3 linked regions of the Canis lupus familiaris genome follow. The protein of the gene in region 2 binds, or shares a complex with, the protein of the main gene of each other region. Links are inferred from orthologs where the notes say so. Each region holds a gene or a part of one and is shown on either strand. Other genes may lie near its edges.

Region 1 (8,127 bases), on a different chromosome or scaffold from region 2:
TTCTGCCTATTTGCATACCAGTACTTCTGCCTCGCCTCTACTTCTATGCCTCCGAGGCTGCTTTCACCAAGGTCCCTTGGGACTTCCTTGATTACAATTTTTTTTTATTTTTTCTTTTTTTTTTTTTCTTTTTTTTTTAATTTTTATTTATTTACTTATGATAGAGAGAGAGAGAGAGAGAGAGGCAGAGACACAGGCAGAGGGAGAAGCAGGCTCCATGCATCGGGAGCCTGATATGGGATTCGATCCCGGGTCTCCAGGATCACGCCCTGGGCCAAAGGCAGGCGCCAAACCGCTGCGCCACCCAGGGATCCCTACAATTTTTTTTTAAAGATTTTATTTTTTCTTTATCCATGACAGACACAGAGAGAGGCAGAGACACGAGCAGAGGGGGAAGCAGGCTCCAGGCAGGGAGACCGACGCAGGACTCGATCCTGGGCCTCCAGGATCACGCCCTGGGCCGAAGGCGGCGCTAAACGTTTACCCTGAGCCACTCCGGGTATCCCTTGATTACAAATCTTACAGTTTCAGTCTTTCTCTTCCTTGACCTGGAAGCAGTATCTAACACCGTTGGCACACCTTAGAGTACTCTTATTTTGGCGCACATGACACCATATTCCTGGTTTTTCCTTACCTCTCCGGCCACATCTTAATCTCCTTTGCCCACCCCTTACGAATCCATCCACGTTTATCATCTCCATTACCATTATCTTGGGTGATCATCATTATTAGCAACTTCCTACCAATATTGCAGCTAGAGTGATTTTTTTTCTAGAAGGCAAGAGGTCACGTCACCACCAGCCTTTCTATTGTCCTGCTTAAAGTTCTTCATCTGTTTCCCTTGCGTTAAAATCCAATACCTTTGAGTTTTGGCCCATATTCTAGTTTAATATGCCTTGTAAGCCATTTGGTTTCTGTCCCTTCTCCAACTTCATTACTATATTCACAACTTCATTCTGTATTCCAACCACACAGTTCTGGGCCCTCTATCTGGAACATTTCCTTCAGGAAGACTTCCCTTAGGCCCCTAGATTGGATTAGGAGCCATCCCATGTGCTTCCATAGTAGTCTGTGCTTCCTCTATTTGTAACCGTTGCTTCTACATTATAATTGCTTGTATGCTCAACTGCTTCCTCTGCAAGTTCTATAAAGGTCTGTCTTGTTCACCATTGTATTATTCCCAGCACATAACAATAAGTGCACAGACCATGTTCTTTCAGCTATACCATGTTGTCTCATGCCCCCAAACCTGGATCCAGTCTGACTGGTGTCCAGTTCCTTTAAGTTTTCTCAAAACGTTTGATATTTGCCACATCTGCAGATGCCCAGATTCAACAGTTAACAGTATAATTTTTATAAGTTCACTCTTGGAAAATAACTTCGTGGTAATTACCTGATGAATCTATATACTTAATTGAATTACCGCCTCAAGACTGTTGTGAGGATTCAAAGAATAAGCATTTGTAAATGGATTCACATTTATTAGGTGCTTAATACCTCGTGGTTCCCTTCTCTTTTTCATACAATTCCCTTGTTACCACCCATATCCCATGCTTTCTTTTTTTAAAGATTTATTCATTTATTAGAGGGGGAGGGGCAGCAGGAAAGGGAGAGAGAGGGAATCCCAAGTGGACTCCCTGCTTGGGAGGAGGGGGAGGGCCCAACATAGGGTTTGATCCCGGGACCTCAAGATCATGACCTGAGCCAAAATCAAGAGTCTAATGCTCAACCAACTGAGCCAGTCAGGTGTCCCCCAGTGTGTGTGTGTGTGTGTGTGTGTTTAAATAAAACACCCTATAGTTTTATAGCAATTTACAGTTGGCAAAGTATTTTTCCAATTTCCAAGATTTTGTTTTCTATTCTTACAACAGTCCTGCCAGATGTATAACATTATTTTTCTCATTTTATTTTTTATTATTATTTTTAAAGACTTTATGAGAGACAGAGAGAGAGAGAGAGGCAGAGACACAGGCAGAGGGAGAAGTAGGCTCCATGCAGGGAACCCGATGCGGGACTCGATCCCGGGACTCCAGGATCATGCCCTGAGCCAAAAGCAGACAGACGCTCAACCACTGAGCCACCCAGGCGTCCCTCATTTTATTTTTTATTTTTATTTTATTTTTTTGTCCCTCATTTTAAAGATAAACTTGAGTGAACCTCGAGATTCACTGATCCTAGGAGAGGAAGGGACTGATGACTGTGGCGTGGAAGGTTAGTTCACACCTTCGATCATAGCGAATCAAATCACACAAGGATTATTTTAACACAAGCTTCCAGTGATTTTCCCTCTTCACACCCACTCTACACCAGTTATTTTTGGGGGGAAGAAAAGGAGTAATGCTAAGACTGGGAATGAGAATCAAGAGGCCACTGACCTCAATGAAGAACAGTATACAATTACAGTGGTCAGGCCCCCAGAATGATGCCATCTTAGCACGGTCTCTAGACCTGATTTCACAATTCCCTGCTCTCACTGGAACTTCCACGAACTAATGCAGTTTCCTAATAATTAGGGTTTTGACTGTCCTTTGCCTACTCAAGGAGGAAAATTTTCCACAGCCTGAAAGACTTCACAGAGGTCAACCAATTTGGCCTGAAAGGACAAGGGGCTCTTGGGCATCAGTCCTGCCCCGTTGTTCATCTGGGGCGGGGGGGGGGGGGCGGGGGGGGTTTGCAAAAAAGTACCAACGCCCAGGTTCAGGGCGGCGAGAGAACCTGATTGTCTGGTTTGGGGTGGGGCCCAAGCATCAGTATTTTTAAGATGCTCCCGAATGACTCCGTTGTGCAGCCAGGTCGGAGAATCCCTGCCGGGTAAGCAGAGCCTAGAAAACGAGAAGGGGAAATTCCATATCCAGTTTAACCTCTACCCGCAGCACCTGCTCTAGAGACCAGTTAAGTAGAAAGGGAAAGGTAGGAATTAAAAAAAAAAAAAAAAGTAAAAGTAAAAGGGATAAAAGGGAGAGGTCAGTTCCAGGGAAACGGCAGCGGCACCACGGATTCAGGAAAGGCGTCTGTGGGGAGCGTTTCCGTGAGCAAAGTTCGGCCGGAGCCAACTTCTGACCCACGCGCCAGCGCGTGCGGCGGTCCGTGGGGTCAGCTCCTTCATCACCGACGGTGAACAGCTGTCTCGGGCTCGCCCACGTTGGGCCCACGCACACGGAGGTCGAGCCTGGGGCGCAGCCCTCGCGGAGCTCAGCCGGACGTCGTGAAGCAGGGTCCCCAGACCCGCCGCCCAAGCCCGGGCGCCCTCGCGTCGCCTGCGGCCTCGAGCCTCGGGAAACCCGGGGGCGACCCGTGGCCGCGCTCCCGCCGGCGGCCGAGGGGGCGGGGCTGCGCTGACCCCGCCTCCGGGCGACGGGGCTCTGGTTTCCGCCGGGGGATGCGCCAGACTTGCCGCCACTTCCGGGAACGCAGACGGCCTGGGCCGCTTCGCAGCGACCGGCAGCCTCGCCTTGACGTCACATCCGCGCGCCCCGGTAAACGTCAGTGTTGGGCGCACAGCGCGGCGACGAGGTTTGCTGGTCAAGTTTCGTCTCCGTTGCCTCCTTATGAACCATGGAGAGTGACTTTTATCTGCGTTACTACGTGGGTCACAAGGGCAAGTTCGGCCATGAGTTCCTGGAGTTTGAGTTCCGGCCCGACGGTAAGAGCGGCCTCTGGCCCCGGCCGAGCGAGGACGGGGCCTGGGGTCGGGCGAGCGGGGAGGCCCGGGCTCCGGAATGTGCGAGGAGGAGCTAGGAGAGGACGGGACTGATGACTGCGGCGCGGATCTGAAAGGGCCACTCCTGTGACCGCTCCGCTGGTTCTTCCCATGTGCACGAACTTTTTTTTTTTTTTTTTTTTTTTTAACTAGAATGCTTCATTCAGCAGACACTGATTGCATACTTTGTGCCAGGCTCTCTTTCACAATTTGGGACAAGTTTCCTCTCATAGCGTATATATTCTGGTGCTGGGAGAGATATAAACAAACAAAGATTTCAGATAATGACGAGTGGTCAGAGCATGAAACAAAACGATGGAGTAATTGCTAAAAAGTGGACTGCTTTTAAGCAGAGTGGCCACTGGCGTGCTCTCTGGAAAGGTAGTATTTGAACTGAATCCTAAGTGACAAGAAGGAGAGCCAGCTTTGTGAAGCTCGGGAAGAAGGGCATTTTGGACAGAGGGAGTAACAAGTGTTAAGGCTTTGGGGCATGAACGAGCATGTTCCAAGTGGCCAGTATGGCTGAGGAAGTAGTGAGCTCCGAGGAGAATAGTAGGAGACAATGTCAGATAAGCAGGGGTACACCATGTAGGTCTTTACAGGCCATGGTGGAGAGTTTGGATTTTATTCTAAGTGCAGCAGGAAGCAACTGGAAAGTTTTAAGGAGAGAAGAGATGTGATCTCTTCCTGAAAAAGTATTCTAATCATGGAGTATGATTAGAAATAGAGTAATGATTAGAAAAAGTAATCTATTCTAATCATTGCAAGAGTGGAGACAGGGCAACTTATTAGGAGACAGTGAACAGTTGTCAAGGTAAAAAGGATGCTGGTTGGGACTAAGGTACTATCAAAAGCGCATAGAAGGGTTCAGGATACTGTTGGAGGCAGAACCAATAGGACGTTGCTGTTTGATAAGATCTGGGGGAAGGACCACTGTGGGGAGGAAAAGGAATCAAAGATGACAAAAATAAAAAATAAAAAACCTCCCACTAAATGGGGGCACAAAGATGAATCTGACAAGCCCCAGTTGTAAACAAACAATGATAGGATAGTGTGTTTGATGCTGTGGTACAAAGAAACGGAAGGGACTCTGGAGCAGAAAGAAGGCAACCTAACCTAACCCTCAGGTAGCCTGAGGATGGGAGAAAGCTTCCTGCATAAAATGACTTGGGGGAAGAGGAGTGATAGTCTTAGTAATGTGCAGGAGTTGGTTAGGCATTTGGACATCAACATCAAAGAAGCTGAAAACCAAAAAGTGCATGGGATGTTTCAAGCAGAAACCAAGTAAGGTGGTTAACTCCAGCTGTGTAAGAGTGGACTATTGCAGGAGGGAGCCTGAAAGGCAGGCAGGGGCTCAGCTTAGCAGTTATGCCATGTTGAAGAATTTGGATTTTTATCAAGAAGGCAGTGAGAAGGGATCCCTGGGTGGTGCCAGCAGTTTAGCGCCTGCCTTTGGCCCAGGGCACTATCCTGGAGACCCGAGATCGAGTCCCATGTCAGGCTCCCAGTGCATGGAGCCTGCTTCTCCCTCTGCCTGTGTCTCTGCCTCTCTCTCTCTGTGTGACTATCATAAATAAATAAAAATTAAAAAAAAAAAAAAAAGAAGGCAGTGAGAAGCTATTGTCATTATCAAAGTGTTAGAGTAACCTGGGGCACCTGGGTGGTTAAGTAGTTGAGCGTCTGCCTTTGGCTCAGGTCATGGTCCTGGGGGCCTGGAATCGAGACCTGCATTGGGCTCCCTGAAGGAGAGCCTGCTTCTCCCTCTGCCTATGTCTCTGTCTCTCTCTCTGCATCTGTCATGAATTAATAAAATCTTACCAAAAAAAAAAAGTATTAGAGTAACCTAATTAGATTGGTCTGTTACTACATCACTTTGTCTACCGTATGGAGAATGAACTGAACCAAGAGAGACAAGGCAGAGATAGTGAGTGCAGTGAGGCATCAATTAATCTGGCTCTTTTTACATGTGTAATCCCAAAGGTAAAAATTCATCTATTTCCTTTTCTCTTCTTTTCCTTCATATCTAGCATATAGCCTTTTGGATGCATATACACACAAAAGGCCTTGTATACCAAATATGCTTAATAATAAAACCAAAACTTTTCCACCATAGGAATAGATCAGAGTATTGCATGGTCACATGAATAATATGTAAACAGCATTTTACAATTTTCAAACTGCTTTCACAATTCATCTGAGCCTCAGGAGGCCTTATGTGCAAGTAAGTTACCATCACTATCCCTGTTTTCAGCTGAGGACATTAACCTGCAGAGATATGATTTGCCAGAGTCACAATGTTCTGCTTATGTTCTTTTATCACACCTGAGCTGCCTTTTGCAAGAATTATAATTCAATGTCAGCAATATTCTGGCTTTGAAGCTACTTAATAGCCGAAAATAAAGAACTGAAAGACTGCTATTGTTGGAACATCAGAAGTTTGAATAGTAAATCTGGTAGACGCTGAGGGGAAAGCTAGGATACATTTTAAGCAACAGCTGATAGTCTTGGTGAGCTAATGAAGCTTTATTTATACGTTTTTAATATACACTGAATTTGTTTTTTCGCTCCTCACAGGGAAATTGAGATATGCCAACAACAGCAATTACAAAAATGATGTCATGATCAGAAAAGAGGTAATGAGCCTTCTGAGAGCCTTTCTTTCACTACAATTTAGCCTTTTGTCATGTTTTTGTTCTTTCTGGGAGTAAGTAGTATTGAAAAAGAATAGAGAAGTATAGACATATCTATAGACACCTTCTAAAATTTTTCTCACATCTTTTAGTTTATATTTTCTTTTACAATGTTAAACCACTTTTGTAATCATTTAAAGTCTTGCAAATCTTGGTTTAAACCCTGAATCTGCTATTTACTCTATGCCCCTGGGCAAATAACCTGGCTTGATAAGTTTTAGTTTCTTTGTCTGCAGAAACAGATATAATTAACCTGCCCCCCCCCCCCCCCCCAGTGCTATCACAGAATTAAATACATTATACCTAAAGTGTTTTGTGTATTTCCTGGTGCATAGCTTTCAGAAGAGCTCTTTAATTTGCATTTGGATGGGGGAAAGGGAACATGGGAAAGCAGTTCACATCATTGAATGCAGGTTAGATGCCAGGCTTGGCACTTGGTGTTTTACATATGATTTTATTTCACCCTGATTGTAAGCCTTTTTGATTAGCGGTATTATATACCCTTTACAATGAAGGCCCAGATGTTAATTATGGGGCTTGTTCAAAGTCACCTCATCCTGACGAGCAAGAGATAGAGTGGGAATTCAAAGCTATGCCTGCCTCTGTCAAGTCCATGTGCTCTATTTTGCTTAATTTCTGCCTCACTATTGAGGCTTCATCAAAGCTTCTCTTTCCTTTTAACCACTTTGTCACATTTGAAAATGTCTTAACAGTTACTATATCTTCATACTGTTATGTTTAACTAGCATTCAGTTTTATGTTTACCCACATGTCTCAGCCTGCTTATATACATATATATTTTATGTGTGGACTGATATACAAAATGTATTTTAAAAGATGTGTCTCTGGTCTTCATAAGCATGTCATCTCGGTAGGAATAACCAGGGTTCACTCACAGATCTTTTGTTCTGGGTTCAGGTGTGAATTCAGTCTGTAAGCAAGGAGAAGTTCCAAGTGAACAGGATGTGCCAAGAAGTAGAAACCGGTAGATGGGGTATGATGTATAGTCACTGGGCACTTCTGGCCCTGCCCTCTTGAGCATGCTGAGGTCACACCTGAATGCCATCTACCTTACAGTGGTGCCAGAGACCAGTTTTTATTAGCAGGTTTTTTTTTTTTTTTCTTTTTAATCTTTAATCATTATCTGAGTCAGAACACTTGCTTAGGGATGCAAGTTAAATTCCATTTTTTAATTTGCTTTCAGGCTTATGTACATAAAAGTGTAATGGAGGAACTGAAGAGAATAATTGATGACAGTGAAATTACCAAAGAGGATGATGCCTTGTGGCCTCCCCCGGATCGAGTGGGCCGGCAGGTGAGTGTTAGCAACTGTCCTATAGAGCAGAAGTTTTAAGAAGTAAGAGGAGTTTTACTGCCGTGCGTATGACATTGAATCTGTGTGTATGTATTAATGGAGCCCTACACAAAGTACATTACCAGCACATTTGTCTAAGGAAGCAGTAATCCCACAAGAAGGAACAGAAAGCCAGTGGTGCTTCCTGACCACCTGCATTGGTGGATTTCTTCATGACTCTTCCCCCTGCCAGCCCTTCTCAGAGGTTTTGTTGCCCACCTCACTTACTGAGTAACTACTATGGACAAAGCATTGTGAACATACAAAGAGAACCAGAACATGGTTATTTCAGCAGTCTAATGAAGGAATATCATGCAAGCAGCTAGATATATGTGTTTTAATTCATGGCTTATATATTTATTCTGAAAACCATTTATGGTAAT
Region 2 (8,041 bases):
CCCTGCCTTTAGAGCTGTGCCTGCATGGCACTCTTCTCACCCTGGTATACCCTTCCTTATAGATTGAGTATAGTGGTGTTTACCCTAAAACAAAACAAACAAAAAAACCTCACCATGAGCTTAAGGACCAGATGAGGAATAACAAGTGAAGTGATGAAGCAAGTCATCTTCACAGGGTAGAAAAGAGATTAAAAAGTTGGCAGATGTTCTCTTAAAACTATTCTGTAATACAGCCGTGTGGGAAGTGGTGTTTGGCTGTGATTATTTTCTTAGTTAATGGGTAACTGAATTTCTTCCCCTACTCCTTAAGAGAATGGGGATGGTTAGTTTTGGGCAAGTTATGACTCTAAACAAAAGCAGTTGACATTTGAGGATGGCATGTCAGAGCCTGTATAGATGTTCTTGTGTCACATCACTTCTCAAGTATTCCTTAGTTGGGCTCTATTCTTTTAGCTGAGCTCTTGGTGGTGGGATAGAGATTTAGGGAAGGTGGGGGGAGTGTATGTGGAAATATGTGCTTCCTTTGGCTGGCAAATGTCTACATCTTGGAAACAAACAGATGTACCTAATGAGCTTCTCCATTCACTTTGTAAAAATAGATTTGTATGTGTATCATCTTGGTCTCCTTTCCCCCCATTTTGTTAAAAAAAAATTCAGGACAGCACTCCAGGCCACTTTGGTCTCAGTGTAAGATCCCTGTAACTATCTGGAAGGAAAATAGAGCCAAGACCTCTGGTCTTAAATATATAGGAAATGCCTTTGTTTAGTCTTTATGACTATGGTGTGAAAACAAGTAGGGGTCTAATCTCCTAGAAGGTAGGGGCTTTTATCCTTGAAGAGAATATGTCCCCAGATTATTAGCACTTTTAGAGGAGAAGCCAAGGTATGTAGGGTGTGTGGCCGGCCCATCAATGGAGCATGAGAAAATGGGGATACCATTGTGGGAAGAAAAGAAAAGTTCCTCAGGGGCCTCCCACTGCTAAAGATTTTTGTGACATGTTGATCTGTGCTCCCTGGGTTTGACTTTTAAAGGAATTATTCCGGCAGCACATGTAGTATTCTTGGATGATCTTGCTGCTTTTATTTCTCCTTTTGTGTGTGTGTGTGTGTGTGTGTGTGTGTGTGTGTGGCTATGGGTTTTCATTTGTAACTCCATCTGCTTAGGAGAGTGGGCTCTCCACAAGGGAACCTGCTGTGAACTTCATCGCAGCAAGAGTGTAGAGAGAAATAGGACTTATTCCACTAGGGGCTCTCATCTCACACCTTAAGGGGAGGAAAGAGATTTCTAGAAAAACTGGGCCAGATTTTCTTTGTTCTCCATCATTTTAATATGGTAAGCTGTTTGGCTTTCCTACTCTGACCTATGTTATGTTCCTTTATAATGTGCCCAAGAAGAAAAAAGACCAATCAGTGTCTCTTTACGTTGTTCCTTGATTCCTCGGTTTCTTCTTGGTTTTCAGCATTTGTCGGATTCCTAATTTGGATATGGGTTAGCAAATTAAATCTTTGTGTTTGTGCCCTATCCAGGAGACTCCCCAGATTCTGAACTTGAGCTAGACTAAGAGGAATCCATGAGGTGCTATCTGGCCAGACATAAGTGGATTCTATTTCCTTGGTTCTCCCTCTACCTAGGACCGCTCATTTTATTGTCCCCTCTTCTAGATCAGTTCTCCTTTGATTTGGATGCATTGAGGTTTTTTGAGGAGGTTGGAGAGTAGATTAGCAAAGTCCCAAGAGCGAAATTACAGTGTGTTAGAGTGTGGGGGGAAAATTAGTCTTATTTTTTCCCTACATGGGATACAACACTGTGAAATTCAATCTTCAACAAAGGCCCTGCAATTCTCCTAAAACATAGTTCTTTGTTTCTTTCTTTAACAAAGTTTAAGCTAGTGTTAATAAATTAAAAAGAAAAATTGCTTGTCTGTCCACTTCAGCTTTGTTTTATGCCCATTTCATATTGTTGTCTGTGTTGTAATTCATACTTTTGATACCATTTCTGATGTGTAAAATTGGTTGTCTTGTAAATATCTTATAAAGAGTTCAATTGTAAATAAACTATTGTGGCTGTTAATTTTTGAACTTCCGCTTCAATTTATTAGATATATTGGGAAGCATTAAACGGTTCTGGTAGATATTGAAAGATTAAAAATAGAAATCTATTTTTGCAAAATAGAAAAATACATCATTTTCTCTTTTATTTGTGTATGAACACAACATGTTTTTCATCCCTTTGTTCTGTGTTCTCCTTTACACCTATGGTGAGTGGCAACTTTAAAAACAAGATTCTAGGACAGGATACTTGGTGCCTGGTGTCTAAATGAATAAAGCCTCCTAATTGAAAAGACCTTAGAGGTCATCTAGTCTGACCCATAACGCATGATTTTCCCCTTGACAGCATTCCAGACAAATGAAGTCCAGCTTCTGCTTCAACATTTCATTTTTTTCTATGCATTTTTTCCTAAATGTTAGAAAATCCTTCCTCACTGGTAAAATCTAACTTGTAACTCCAACCCATTGGTTCTTGGTTTGCCTTCCAGGGTGATGAAAAAGAATCAATTCTTCCTGTTCCTCATAGTCTCTTGAATAGTTAGATTGCTGTGGCTGTCAAATCTTTTCTTCATGGTAAACATTCACAGAGCTTATATTTATTCCTCAAAAGTAAGGATTTTGAATTTTTCAGTTCCCTCTAAGTGAACAAATTGCTTGTATTCATTTAAAAATTGAACCCAGACCAAACAACTGAAAGGTAAAGTGGCAGGTTATCGCTTTCCTTATTTAGACACTAAACTTGGCAGCTTCATTTGCATCAATTTACCTTATGATAGAAAAGATCCTCCAGATCTTCCTTTCTTTCCAACACTTATTAAATCATACATCCTCCATTTGAACTCTGGCAGCTGGGTTTTGGAGCTGGATTTACAAGTTGTCACATTTGGCCCCTTGTTTAACTAGTTGAGATCCTTTTAGATCCTGAATCTATCTATGAAGGCATTCAGATTGGCTTCTAGTTTCATATTGTCTATAAATTTGGTAAATATCAGATCTTTAGCCATGTAGTTTTTAAGAAATACTACAGAGGACAGAATCCTGTGCTTTGCCATAGTGACCTTTCTCTGTTTGATACATATCAATAACGTGCACTCCTGTAGGTATGCTAATCACTTAGCTTATGCATCTTGAGTATATTTATTATGGTCCAAAGAAATTAAGACTTTTTTTTTTCATTGTTGACCATGTCTTGCCAAAACCCAAGCATTCCTCTCATCTACCGGTCTGGTAACCTTTAAGAAGGAAATCATGTCAAGATACTGAACCAACGCTTGTTCCCATCATCATCTCTTTTAGAATCAGTTCCAAAATCTTGGCTGAGTCTGGCATCATACCAGCCTGCACTTTGGAAGAGGTGATAGCTGGGGTGGGAAGATACAAGATGAGGAAATGAGAAAACAAAAACATGGTAGTGATGCAACACTAAGTCCTCGAGCTTCACTGCAAACAATTGCTTTCTCCTTCACCTTTTAGCTTCAAATGGGCTGCTGTGGCAAATCTGATACATCACAACAGCTTTAGAGGTTTACCTTGACTGATTTTACCGAGCAAACGAATGCAGTAAAATGATCTGCTTCAAACGTAGGTAGAAATGAGAAACGGAAATAGAAAACTATGAAACAGCTCCAATGCCGCAGCGAAGCTGTAGCAGGTGGGCGCCCTCCACTCGGAAGGCCCAAGATGGCTGGGCGAGGAACCGGAGGCGGCTGCCCGGAGCTCAGCTCCCCACGCCCGGGGCCTACTCGAGGGAAGACGGGGTCGCGGAACGCCCCCGGTACGTCACCGATTACGTAATCCCACTCGCCTGCAAAAGTGCCGCAGGGCGGCAGCCCCGCCCCTAGCCCCTCCCCCTGAAAAGCGCGGTGGCCCGTGTCGCACGTGAAGCATGCTGGGATTAGCTCTCGAGCCTCCCGGCAGCCCCTGCGACGGGCGCGGTACGTAAGGAGCTGGCCGGCGACGGCCGTTCTCCGTAAGATGGCGGATCGGCGGCGGCAGCGCGCTTCGCAGGACACGGAGGACGAGGAGTCTGGTGCTTCGGGCTCAGACAGCGGCGGCTCCCCGGCGCGGGGCGGCGGGAGCTGCAGCGGTAGCGCAGGAGGCGGTGGCAGCGGCTCTCTGCCTTCCCAGCGCGGAGGCCGAGCTGGAGCCCTTCATCTGCGGCGGGTGGAGAGCGGGGGGGCCAAGAGCGCTGAGGAGTCGGAATGTGTGAGTGCGCGCGGGTGGGCCGGGCCGGGGGGCGGGGTGTAGGTGGTGAAGGGACGCTGGGAGTTGATGGTAGATGCTGGGGCGTATTGTGTTAGAGAAGAGAGCTATCCCAGTGCAGTGTGCATCCGGAGCCCCGAGGGAGGAGGTGGTGTTGGGGTTTCTGGGGGAAGGGCAGACCCGCTGCACGTGAAAAGAGGATCTTTATTCAGAAATTGGGGCTGGAAGTGAAGAGACCGGACCTCCCTCGTTTGCTACTTGTTAAAGATGTACCTTTTCTCATCTCCCTTTTCAACCATTTTGTGTTGAGTTTTCAGTTCCCCACCCTCTGGGTATCAAGGAACTAAATCATGTCATCTTCTTTCCTTCAGGAGAGTGAAGATGGCATCGAGGGCGATGGTGAGTAACATCATGACAAGTATTTTGCCCGTCAACTCACATCACCTATTTCCACCAGTTGACATCCTCTCAGACCGTTAAGGATTTGGGGGCGGGTACCACTGAGTGGCTCTTTGTAACACAATGCCTACAAGCTTACGTTTTAGCAGTATGATCTTGGGCAAATCACTCATTGAGCCTGTTTCCCATTTGTAACTGGGAATTATGATTTTCTCTCTCTGATAGATTGATGTCAGAATTGAACGAGGGTCTTAGCTTGACTCAAAAAGCAGTGAGTAATAACTTTTTTCTTTACATATTTCTGTTTCCTTTCAGCTGTTCTGTCGGATTATGAAAGTGCAGAAGACTCTGAAGTGAGTGTGATAGGCTTTTTTTTTTCCCTATGGTATATGGGTTGGAAATTTTTTGATGTATTTTAAGAACGTGTATACACCTGTGGTTCAAAAGTACCATGACCTCCTTGTTATTTCTCTTGTGCATTCTTCATTTATGTTTCTCAAAAACTGTTATTAAAGGTCTTGTTTATTTAGAGTGAGAGAAGTTTGGTGCATTCCACATCAGGTTTCATGTGTTAGTACTGTTAGTAGTTGGCTTTTCACCCTGTCTGAAGAAAATAAGTTTCTAAATAAGAGAATGAGAACATCCTGAAGCCCTTCACAGAATAAGAGTTCCTTTTATGCTAGGAAGTGAAACCAGCTAATTGAATTTTTTTTTTTTTCCAAGTGTATGTGAAGACCTTAAAAGGAGAGGATCCTGAGTTGTTTGTATCAGAAATATCCCTGTTTCTAGGGAGCTTTCTCCCTCCTTAAATTCAGGAGAAAATATCCATAAGCCAAGCTTTTGTGACTTTATTTGTTTTGGTTAGGTGAACTACTAGAGATGCTATTTGTTTCCTGGGGTTGAATAAAGTCCTAATTTCTGGAATTTGGGTCATGAGGTTATGGGCAGGAGGAATTGGATTGTGGATCAAAGGTTCATTCTGTAAGTTTTGTAGAACTGTTACTACATATTAGATTTCCATTACATCCTGGAGATGCAACAGCAAACACTATACTAAAATTTCTGTCTTTAGGAATGACTTAGGAAGTCAGATAAACATGCAGGCAGTCCTACGAGTTGGTGACAACTGCTGGGGATAGGCTTAAGCTTAAGCAGGGTGTTAATGGCTGAGTACTGACTCCATCTTAGGCCGTCGAGAATAAGTTGGAGTTAGGCCATGTTTTAGGCAGAGGGAACAACAGCTGTGAAAATCCAGACACAGGAGAGAAAACTGAATATTTGGAAACTTGGAAGTAGTTTGGTGTGGCTGGAATATTGTTAGGATGGATACCAGAAATAAAGGCTAATTAGTGAACAGGGATCAGATCATGAAGGGGTTTACTTGTTCCTTTTCTTCATTATGCACCTGCTGTATGCCAGGAGTTATACAAGGCACTAGAATAAAAGACAAACATAGTTCTGCTCTCCTGGAATTTACATTCTGGGGAAAAATAGACAACTTTAAGCAAGTAATTACAGTAATGTTTGGTGTCGTGATATCAGAAGCACAGGGCGCTTTGGAAGCACATGGCAGGGGCAATGAATTGTTTGGAAACGCTTAGAGGATGGGATGTTGAAATAGAGACTTGAAGGGTGAGTAGGAGTGAGCCAGGCAGTATTCTAAGCAGAGGGAACACTGTTTGGGAAGAAGGTCTAGAAGGGATGGACTGCATGACAAATTGGAGAATATGAAAAGTTTAGTGTGACTGGGGCTAAATGATGAGTCTGAGTCCAAATCTTAAAATACCTTGTAAGCCTGATTAGAATGTATTTGGATTTTATTCTAAGGAAGTAAGAAAGCATAACAAGGTTTTAAACAAGTGTGATATGGATTAGACTTAAATTTTAAAGAAGTGTTTTTCAGAACTAAGGAACTCCTGCATCAGAAAATCCAGTTGGAAAAAAAAAAAAAGAAAAAAAAAGAAAAAAGAAAATCCAGTTGGCCAGTTCTTTTTTTTTTTTTTCAGTTGGCCAGTTCTACTGAAACAAAATCTTGCAGAGGGAGGGAAGACTCAGGCATTTATGTTAACAAATCCTGGATTGATGCTTATGCACAATAACATTGAGAATTATTATAACAATTATTTTGTTTGCAATGATAGTTGATCTGAGGGGAGCAAGATCGGAGGCAGGAAAGCTAGTTAAAGCTATTGTGGACACTGAGTGTATACTGTATATTGGCAAATTGTATTTGTTTACTTAAAAGATTTTATTCATTTATTCATGAGAGACAGACATAGGCAGAGGGAGAAGCAGGCTCCTTGCGGAGAGCCTGATGCAGGACTGGATCCCAGGACCCCGGGATCACTACTTGATCCAAAGGCAGACACTCAACCACTGAGCCACCCAGGTGCCTTGGCAAAGTGAATTTAAATAAAATATGTATGTATTTATTTATAAAGATTTTATTCATTTATTCATGAGAGACACAGAGAGAGGGAGAGGCAAAGACATAGGCAGAAGGCAGGCCCCATGCAAGGAGCCCGACCCAATCCCGGGACTCTAGGATTACGCCCTGGGCCGAAGGCAGGCGCCAAACCACTGAGCCACCCAAGGATCCCCAAAATAAAATAATTTTTTTAAAAAAAAGCTATTATGGAAGTCTAGGAAGCAGTAAGCATGGACTGGAGTGGAGTAGTAGCAGTGAAAGTAGAAGTGGACAGAATTGAAAGTTATTTAGGTTATGGAATTCCCAGAATGTGGTGATTAATGAGATGCCTTATTTTCTCTGAAGTCAGTGATGAAGTTATCTGCAATGAGTAAAAGGGAGATGAGAAGTTTTGGGGTGAGGAATGTTTGCAGTAGTCACTAGAGAATGGAAACCCTGGAAACATTGTCAGGCGGTATGGAGTGTTCAGTGAGGTTTGGTGATTGTGAATTTATAGCATCTCACTATTCTGTATGTAAATGAGTTTGGTTGTTATCCTAATAATGAGAAAGAAGGCTACTGAAGGTCTCATTATGGGGAATGAAGCAAGACTTGGGACATGGAGAACCGTTAAGAGATTGTTAGGATAAGCCAAAGAACATCATGGTGCCCTAAAGAAGAGACATGGCAGTGGGACTCAGATTTGAGAGATGTTTAGGTGGTACTAACAGAACTTCTTGATTGATTGACTAAGGAGCTTGAATTAAGGAGTCAAAAGGATGCCCAAATTGATGAATGATGTTATTCCCTAAGAATGAGACCCAGGAGATTTCATGGAGGACATTGATGGGTGAAGTTTTGGATGTTTTGAAATTGAGGCCTGTGGGACTTTGAAATGGCAATATATAGTAATATGGCCTAACAATTGAGAAGAAAGCCTAGTTCTACTCTGTCCAATACAATAGTCACCAGCCAGATGTGGCT
Region 3 (8,249 bases), on a different chromosome or scaffold from region 2:
AAATTTTTCCCTAGATTTTATCTGCAAATCTAAAATCAATAATTAAGAGGCTATGTGTGTAGTGATTTATCAAGTAAAATTAAAGAACATTTTAGCTATGTTTTGACCAAGAAACCTAATTATACACAGTTTATGACATGCACAAAATGGAGAATTAACTAAGGCTCTCAAACTATCATAGAATCTTTGACTTAAAGATCCAATTGATAGGGATACCTGGGTGGCTCAGCAGTTGTTGAGCGCCTGCCTTTGGCTCAGGTTGTGATCCCCAAGGTCCTACGATCAAGTCCCACATCAGGTTCCCCCAGGGAGCCTGCTTCTCCCTCTGCCTATCTCTGCCTCTCTCTGTGTCTTTCATGAATAAATTAATTAATTTTTTAAAAATCCAATAAATGATTTCTGGAACATGCCTACCCCTCCCTACTAACCAAAACACATAAACCCATCATCAAGTGGGTAGATGAAAATACTGAGTTCTCTCTGAGTCTAAAAGAGATAAATGATTTGCTGTTATGGTGTCTGTTTTTTAGTACATAAGTACCTATTGCATAAAAGAAACCAAGATTTAGGGGATCCCTGGGTGGCGCAGTGGTTTGGCGCCTGCCTTTGGCCCAGGGTGCGATCCTGGAGACCCAGGATCGAATCCCACATCGGGCTCCCAGTGCATGGAGCCTGCTTCTCCCTCTGCCTATGTCTCTGCCTCTCTCTCTCTCTCTCTGTGACTATCATAAATAAATTAAAAAAAAAAAAGAAAGAAAGAAACCAAGATTTAAAAAGTTACTTTTCAAAACTGTTTACAATATGTCACATAAATACTATTAACTATGACCTTTGCTTTCCTAAAAAATGCCTGTTTAAATAGAAGAGTTAAGTGATTGCACAGAACATCAGCATTTGATTTCTCCATATTTTCTTCCAGTCAAGGAAGGGGATATAAAGTATAATCCTCAGGAATATACAAAAATGAAATTAACTGTTTCTTCCTCCAGGATTTGTATTTCAATTCTCCAAGAGTTGAAAAGACCCAATCAAACTGTCTTTCTACAGAGGGAAATTAAGCCTTCAAACTTCTCCAGAAAAAAAAAAAAAGAAGAAAAAAAAAAAAAACAAACTTCTCCAGAAGCCCTTTGAGAAACATTAATTACTCCAAAGGGAACAACAGGAGGCAAATGCGGTAGTCAGTTTGCACAAAGACGCAATCAAATCCCTCTCTTGGGCCTAAGAGTTCTCAAAGTTATAAAAATGAAGAAAGTGAATTTTATAGTCAATAAGAATCTTGTCTTGAATTTCACACTGTACTTTTTCTTAATAGAATTAATATACAATAGCAATTATTCATAACAGTGTGAAAACATCATAACTTTAACTCGTGAAGCTACATAGAAGACTCGTCAGGAAGATGTCTAAATTCAGAGCTCTGCACTGACTCCTTTACTATTCAGAAGTAGGACAGAAAATGAGACTAAGTGAAATAAAATCAAAGAGTATTGATCAGATGCCTACTAAATAAATGGAAAACCAAAGAATCAATGAGGATCTATTCTAAATAAATAAGTAGAAACACAACATTTATATTACCAGTTTCTACTACCATGCCTAAAGAACCACTGAACACAAACCTGTCGGCCAACTCTGTCAGGGGGAGGCCACAATGCATCATCTTCTTTTGTAATTTCACTGTCATCAATAATCCTCTTCAGTTCTTCCATTACACTCTTGTGTACATAAGCCTGAAAACAAGTTACAATAAAAATTCCACAATGTCTATTTCTTCCCACAACTCAGGATGAAATGATAATACAAAGTTACAAAACCTAAATATTCAAAGAGAGTATCACAGGAAAATCTAATACTGATTCCAAAAGTACAAGTTGGGAGGGAATCACTCATCTTACAACTTTATTAACTCTCTTGCCCTTTCCTTTAATATATATCTGTTACTAAATTAAAATAAATAAATTAATAACTTCCACTAGCCCCTTTTTAAAACTTTGGATCTGCCTTTGTAACACGGAACTCAAATACATCTGAATGGTTAATGGTGATTTGGAAAATCTGTGGTGAACAGAGACAAATACAAGTACATATCCCAGTTACTGCTCTGAACTTTTTCTTACTTAGCCCTAACTTTTGAGCCTTTCATGTAAAATTCACTGTGTTTAAATCTTGACTATCCATTAGTTTAATAAGGAGTGGGATAAGGAGACATAACTAATTATAAAATGAATGAAATTATATGTTCAAAAGTGGGACTACAACTTAATATACTCAGATTGCATCTTCTTCTGTTACACATGCTACCGTTATATCTAATTTAAAGACTCCCTTTTCAACCTATAAATTGGCTTCTTTACAGCAATACAGCCTTAGGTGTATTTTTGTAAATTCAAAAATGACATGAAGAAAATGGTCTAAATGTAGAAAATTAGACATTCAAAAAGAACTTACCTCCTTTCTGATCATGACATCATTTTTGTAATTGCTGTTGTTCGCGTATCTAAGCTTTCCTGTGGGGAATACAAAAAAATTCAATTTATAACTGCAAAAACTGCTATAAATAAATAAACAAATAAATAAATAAATGACAATGAAAGCAATTTTGAAGGTAAAGATGATTTATACTATTTTCATTAATATTTCTGCCCTTTCAGCATAAGATCAATGCTAGACCTGTAAACACTCAAATATTTGTTGGTAAAAAGTTGGCTAAAGGTGAAGCCAGTCATTTTCAAAACTTTCACGCCTTCAATAGATTTTTAAAGTATTTAACATAATTTTTAAATATTTCATGCCTTCAATATAATTCAATATAATAGAGGGGTCATTTTTAAGGCTCATTTGCCTAAGCTGTCATGAACTAAACAGGGACTCTGAAAAAGGAATTAACATTTTTTTTAAAGCCTATGTAATAGGTCTCTATTGGCCCTAAGTCATTTACCCAGAGCATTAGATCTAATCGGTAAAACAACCCTTAAAAGGTTTTATTCTCTCAACTATTCATAGTTGAGAAAACAGAGTTAAATAACTTGCCCAGGGTCACAAAGATTCAGTTCTAGGTCTACCTTCTTCCAATACTCCTGCTTTCCCCACTACTCCAAAGTGTTCTTTTAATTATCTCCTTCAAATTAATCTATGCATGGCAATGCTACTATTTAACACTGTGGCTAAGATACAAAACTATGTACTGCTTCTAGATAAAAGTCGGCCAGTTTGTTAGCTGACCTACACTTAACTTTAATCCATGACTTTTGTACTCCCTGATGCATGCTTCTCCTCATAGCTATAGTCAGTTGTTCATATACATATGTAATGTGGTCCTGATCTCTAAAATGATAGGTTACCCTAGTGCAGTGACCCTTGATCACTGAAGGAAGTATATGGAATGGTGTGGTGGCAGACAACTGGATGAAAACCACTGTTCTGGCATGAACTCTCCCTGATAAATGAGACTACTTAATTTATGTGACTAAACATGATCTAGGCAAGCTGAAAGCTGTTTACAGGCAAAAGCACTAAAAGGAGTATCACCTAAGAAAAGATTAGATGGAGAATTCAGGTAAATTTGGCTCCTTAGCTAAATTTAGAAGAGACATGGCAAGAACATAGGAGAATAGTGATTAAGGTTTCTGAACTGCAGGGCTGTAGTTACTTTGAGTTTCTTTTTATGTCTGATACTATTCCCCCTTCTCTAATATGTGATGATGCTTCTGTGCTTTATCTTTCACTCTCACAGAACTCTGTCCAAAGCATAACACATCATTTAATATCCACACTGTTTTATGGCTAGTTTTACATCTTTGTTACCCAAAGCAAAACTCCTTCAGAGAAGTTGAAGAGACTTGCTCATTATTGTACCCTCAATTTTTGTATTTTACATGTTGCCCAGCATATAACGGGCATTCAAAGACAGAAAAATCTATGCAGGTGGACTGTCCTGGTTCTAAGGAGAGTTCAATATACAATAACTCTCTAAAGAGAATCAGGGCTCTCAAAACATAAAATATGCTGCACCTACAAGGCAGCAGTTTCCACCTTATCCTTTGTTCATGCTGCTTCCCACGGTCTGAATGTTTGTTGTTGTTTTTCCCTCACAGGCCAAGAAAATAGCTATTCTCGAGATGCCTGGGTAGCTCAGCGGTTGTGCGTCGGCCTTCAGCTCAGGTCGTGATCCCGGAGTCCCGGGATCAAGTCCCACGTCGGGCTCCCTGCATGGAGCCTGCTTCTCCCTCTGCCTGTGTCTCTGCCTCTCTGTGTCTCTCATGAATAAATAAATAAAATCTTAAAAAAAAAAAAAAAAAGTCTATTCTCATTTCAAGACTCATCTTGAAAGAGGTTTTGGGCTACCTCCACCATGATCTCAAACGCACCTTTGCCCCTCATTTTTTTTTGGCATGTATTTTTGGCATTTTGGCATGTAGAGAGAGTGTTTGAGACTCTAGTCCATGGTCTCCTTGGTGCCGGCCTCTCTGAACTAAATTCCTTTCTTGTTTCACCAACAGTAGATTCTCTGCCTTTGGATGTTATCAGCGGCTGCGCCCCCAATCTGGTCTGTTTGGGAACCCCAGAATAGCCCTGCATACCAGCTACAATTTCAAACGTTACCTTCTCTAGGAAGCTTTCCTCGACGCCTACATGTAGCCCTAACCATTCCCCTCTTTTGTATTCTTAACGCATCCTATGGGAACAACTATATTTAATCACCCAAACCACATCATTATACCCATTCTTCCATACGTGGAGCTTCCTTCTTCAGAGTGGGTCTCATTCCTATTCCTAGACACGTGGCCTTACAGACAGCGCCTGAACGAATACAATGGTTGAATGGGGAGTCCGAGAATCACCGGTCCCCGAAAGATTTTAAGCATCCATTGGGCCAGTGCGTGGTGGGATGTTCTTTAAAATGTTCAAGGATGACGTCAAGTAAACTAGATGGCATTAGGGTCTCTTCCGGTGCGCTGAACGTGGGATTCTCATTATCCTATGTTCAAGTTTTCAGTACCTGGCAGGATTCGATTTTCTGAATTCATCTACACCCGTGAATTTTCTTTTATGCAGAGAACCAACTTCTGCTTCTGAAGAGTCTTCAGTTCGTATTTACTCCGGCTCTAGCCGTGACCTCGGCCCCCACGACAGACTCGCAAGCCCCCCGACGCTGGCTCACCGCACCCCGCCTCCTCCGAGTCCTCTCCGCCCCGCTTCCCCCAGCCGCGCATCGCGCTAGGCTGCGGCGGCGGCGGCGGCGGCGCCCCGCTCCGCTGCTCACCGTCTGGCCGAAACTCGAACTCCAGAAACTCGTGTCCAAACTTGCCCTTGTGCCCTACGTAGTAGCGCAGGTAGAAATCGCTGGCCATAGCCATGTTTGCGCCCCCTGAAGCCCGCCCAAGGCCTGGCCAACGTGCCGCCGGGCGCCTGGCAGCCACGTCATCGCGCGGGATAAATGCGTCACTGCGGGCGCGCCTTTCCGCTCCCGGGTCCCTGGAGGACCGTGGGGGGAGGCGGACTCTAGCTGCTCAGAGGCGCCCGGGCGATAGGAACTTTGCGTAATTAAGGTTGGAAGACCATTTCCCCCCCCCCCCCCAAATTAAGTAGCTCATATTGTATTGGCAAAACTAATAATGATTACTTATGGGTTTAGAATGAAGGTTTGCAAGTCGCTTTTCCTCCTCGAATCCCTAATCCTCGCGGCATCCCGTCCTCACGAGGTGGGTGTGGCCTCATTCCCCTTTAACTGGTGCAAAAAGAAACAGCCCGGAATCAGAATGGTAGACCCGGACTACCGGCCCTTTCCTGAAGTTAGCTTCTTCACCGGGGCTTTCCCCTTTGTACAATGATGGAACCTAGAATAGAGGCGAAGTAGAAAGAATCCATCAGACAAGAGGTCTGAAATTTGAAAAGCGCTTTGAAACTAAAAATCTCTGACATTTACCGTATTAAGAGAGTTCCTCTTAATAGTAAAACTTCCATCATTCAGTAAGGGTTGATCTTTGGTAGCCTGTGGAGTTTGGGGAATGTGACTTAAGATCAAATGGTTTAGCCCACATTTTTTTTTTTAATTTTATTTCTCCAGGGGGAGGGGCAGAGGTAGAAACAGACTCCCCGCTGAGCAGGGAGCCCAACTTGGGGCTGCATCCCGGACTTGAGGATCGTGACCTGAACAGTAGGCAGATGCCCAACTGGCTGAGTCACCCAGGCGCCCCAGCCCACGATTCTTACCAGAAAGAATTAAATTGGGGAGGTTAAAGTAGTGTCCCAGTATAGAATGGGTTTTGGAGGAAGTGGAAAGAAACTTTATACACAGTCTGCTTTTCGAATATTATTGATCACCCTTGTTTTTACCATCAGCGTAATTCTGTTGGGTGACCTTTAACCTTCAGCAGGATATAGAGGAAAGAGTGGCAGTCAGAAGACCTGGGATTCATTCCCATCACTTACCTCTACTAACCGTGGTTTGCTTAGTCACTGTTGACGCCTGTTTGTTCACCAACCGAGTGAATATCCTACAATCAACTTTGCCAAGCTCAGGAATTACTGAGAAGATCAAATGAGATAATAAATGTATAATAAGTTTTAAAATTTGTAAAACACATAATGACTTTAACATTTAGCATTTCTTATGTGCCAGAAATGGACAGACACTGGTAATAATAATAGACCCCTTTATACTGTTAGTCCAGAGAAGAAAGCAATCATGTAGACATGTATTAACACGAGGAGGCAAACCTTAAAAGAAAGAATATTTTTAGCTCTTTGAAGAAGATACAGGTGCAATAATAGCAGAACTTTGTACACCCAGCTTCAGCTCCTGACTCACTGCTGTTCCCTGTCCCAGAGGAACAAGTTCATCAGGGAGCCAAGCTGCAGCCATGGCTTTTAAAGACATCGGGAAAACACCCGTGGAACCAGAGGTAGCAATTCACAGAATTAGAATTACCTAACCAGCTGCAACCTAAAGTCTTTGGAGAAGGTATGTACTGACTTGATCAGAGGCACAAAGGAAAAGAATCTCAAAGTGAAAGGACCAGTTTAGATGCCTACCAAGGCTCTGAGAATCACTATAAGAAAAATTCCTTATGGTCAAGGTTCTAAGACTTGGGATCATTTTCAGATGAGGATCCACAAGCGATTCATTGATTTGCACAGCCCTTCTAAAATTATTAAGCAAATTACTTCCATCAGTATTGAGCTAGAAGGTGAGGTTGAAGTCACCAGTGCAGATGCTTACATCAACCTTTTTAATAAATTGGTTATCAGTTATTAAAAAAGAAAAGAAAGGATATTCTTAAATGCTGGTAGTACAGCAGAAGCAAGTCATTTTATTGGGGAGTAGGGGAAACTGAAGAAAGGGAAGTATCAAGGAAGGCTTATGACCAGACCTACTATTTAAATTAGACATCCTTGAATAAATTTGGTATATGTTCAAAGGGAAAGAAAGCATTCCAGGCAGAAAACACCCTAAGCAAAAAACAGCCTAAGCAAAGGCATAGTGTGTGATTTGGGAAAGCGAAGAAATTCACTATAGTTAACACATAAGATTCATGCGAGTAGAAAAACTAGAAAGGCAGACTGGGCCAGATTATGTTGAATCTGTATTAACACATATATCGTCAATATAGAAATCTATATTAATCATTGTATAAATGTTAATATAGAAATTATTCAGTCCCTGTTATATGCTGCCATTATGGAAAATAAACAAGACACATAAAGCACTATCCCTTATCGTTAAGGTGAATAACCATTCGGTTTGACCAGGATTTGAGAGTTTCCTGGGATGTGGAACTTTCAGTTTTAAAGCCCGCAAAGTCCCAGGCAAACTGGGATGAGTTGGTCAGTGTACTTACTACAAGAATAGCCCACAGAAATTTGGCCACAATATTCCATAGTAGCTCTGAAAATACAAGCAGTAATCCATTTGGCCTGTTTTTTGCAGGGAGCATCATTCAATATCTTTAGATTCCCTAGTGCATGTTCTTCAGATATTTGGCACACATGCCAGTGTTCATCTTCATGCTTACGTAAGAGAGCTACAGGTACTAGAACTAAGACTATGTAGGTAGCATGTGTGGAATGCACAGTGTTAAGATCTTTATAGGCCACTTACTGTTTTTATCCCCTATAAAGACTTCTGAGGCAAAGACTAATCCTCTCTAACCCTCTCTGTTTTTAAGATGAAATGTGAAAAACAGAGAGGGTTAGAGATGTGAAAATATATATACTTAATCCTTTATATATATAAAAATAAAATAAAA

Evidence for each region.
Region 1: CASC3 (region 2) and MAGOH share a complex: the UniProt entries of both Homo sapiens proteins name them as parts of the mRNA splicing-dependent exon junction complex. The link is inferred for Canis lupus familiaris from reciprocal best matches to the Homo sapiens genes CASC3 and MAGOH.
Region 3: CASC3 (region 2) and MAGOHB share a complex: the UniProt entries of both Homo sapiens proteins name them as parts of the mRNA splicing-dependent exon junction complex. The link is inferred for Canis lupus familiaris from reciprocal best matches to the Homo sapiens genes CASC3 and MAGOHB.

The regions. Positions count from the first base shown.
Region 1 is NC_049226.1:56,147,016-56,155,142, forward strand, and holds the start of MAGOH (protein mago nashi homolog), read left to right. Parts: upstream 1-3,425; 5' UTR 3,426-3,555; coding exon 3,556-3,643; intron 3,644-6,274; coding exon 6,275-6,333; intron 6,334-7,594; coding exon 7,595-7,705; intron 7,706-8,127. UniProt on the Homo sapiens protein: Required for pre-mRNA splicing as component of the spliceosome. Plays a redundant role with MAGOHB as core component of the exon junction complex (EJC) and in the nonsense-mediated decay (NMD) pathway.
Region 2 is NC_049230.1:22,373,683-22,381,723, reverse strand, and holds the start of CASC3 (protein CASC3), read left to right. Parts: upstream 1-3,963; 5' UTR 3,964-4,023; coding exon 4,024-4,254; intron 4,255-4,622; coding exon 4,623-4,650; intron 4,651-4,965; coding exon 4,966-5,003; intron 5,004-8,041. UniProt on the Homo sapiens protein: Required for pre-mRNA splicing as component of the spliceosome. Core component of the splicing-dependent multiprotein exon junction complex (EJC) deposited at splice junctions on mRNAs.
Region 3 is NC_049248.1:11,014,458-11,022,706, forward strand, and holds the start of MAGOHB (protein mago nashi homolog 2), read right to left. Parts: upstream 5,452-8,249; 5' UTR 5,358-5,451; coding exon 5,264-5,357; intron 2,508-5,263; coding exon 2,449-2,507; intron 1,731-2,448; coding exon 1,620-1,730; intron 1-1,619. UniProt on the Homo sapiens protein: Required for pre-mRNA splicing as component of the spliceosome. Plays a redundant role with MAGOH in the exon junction complex and in the nonsense-mediated decay (NMD) pathway.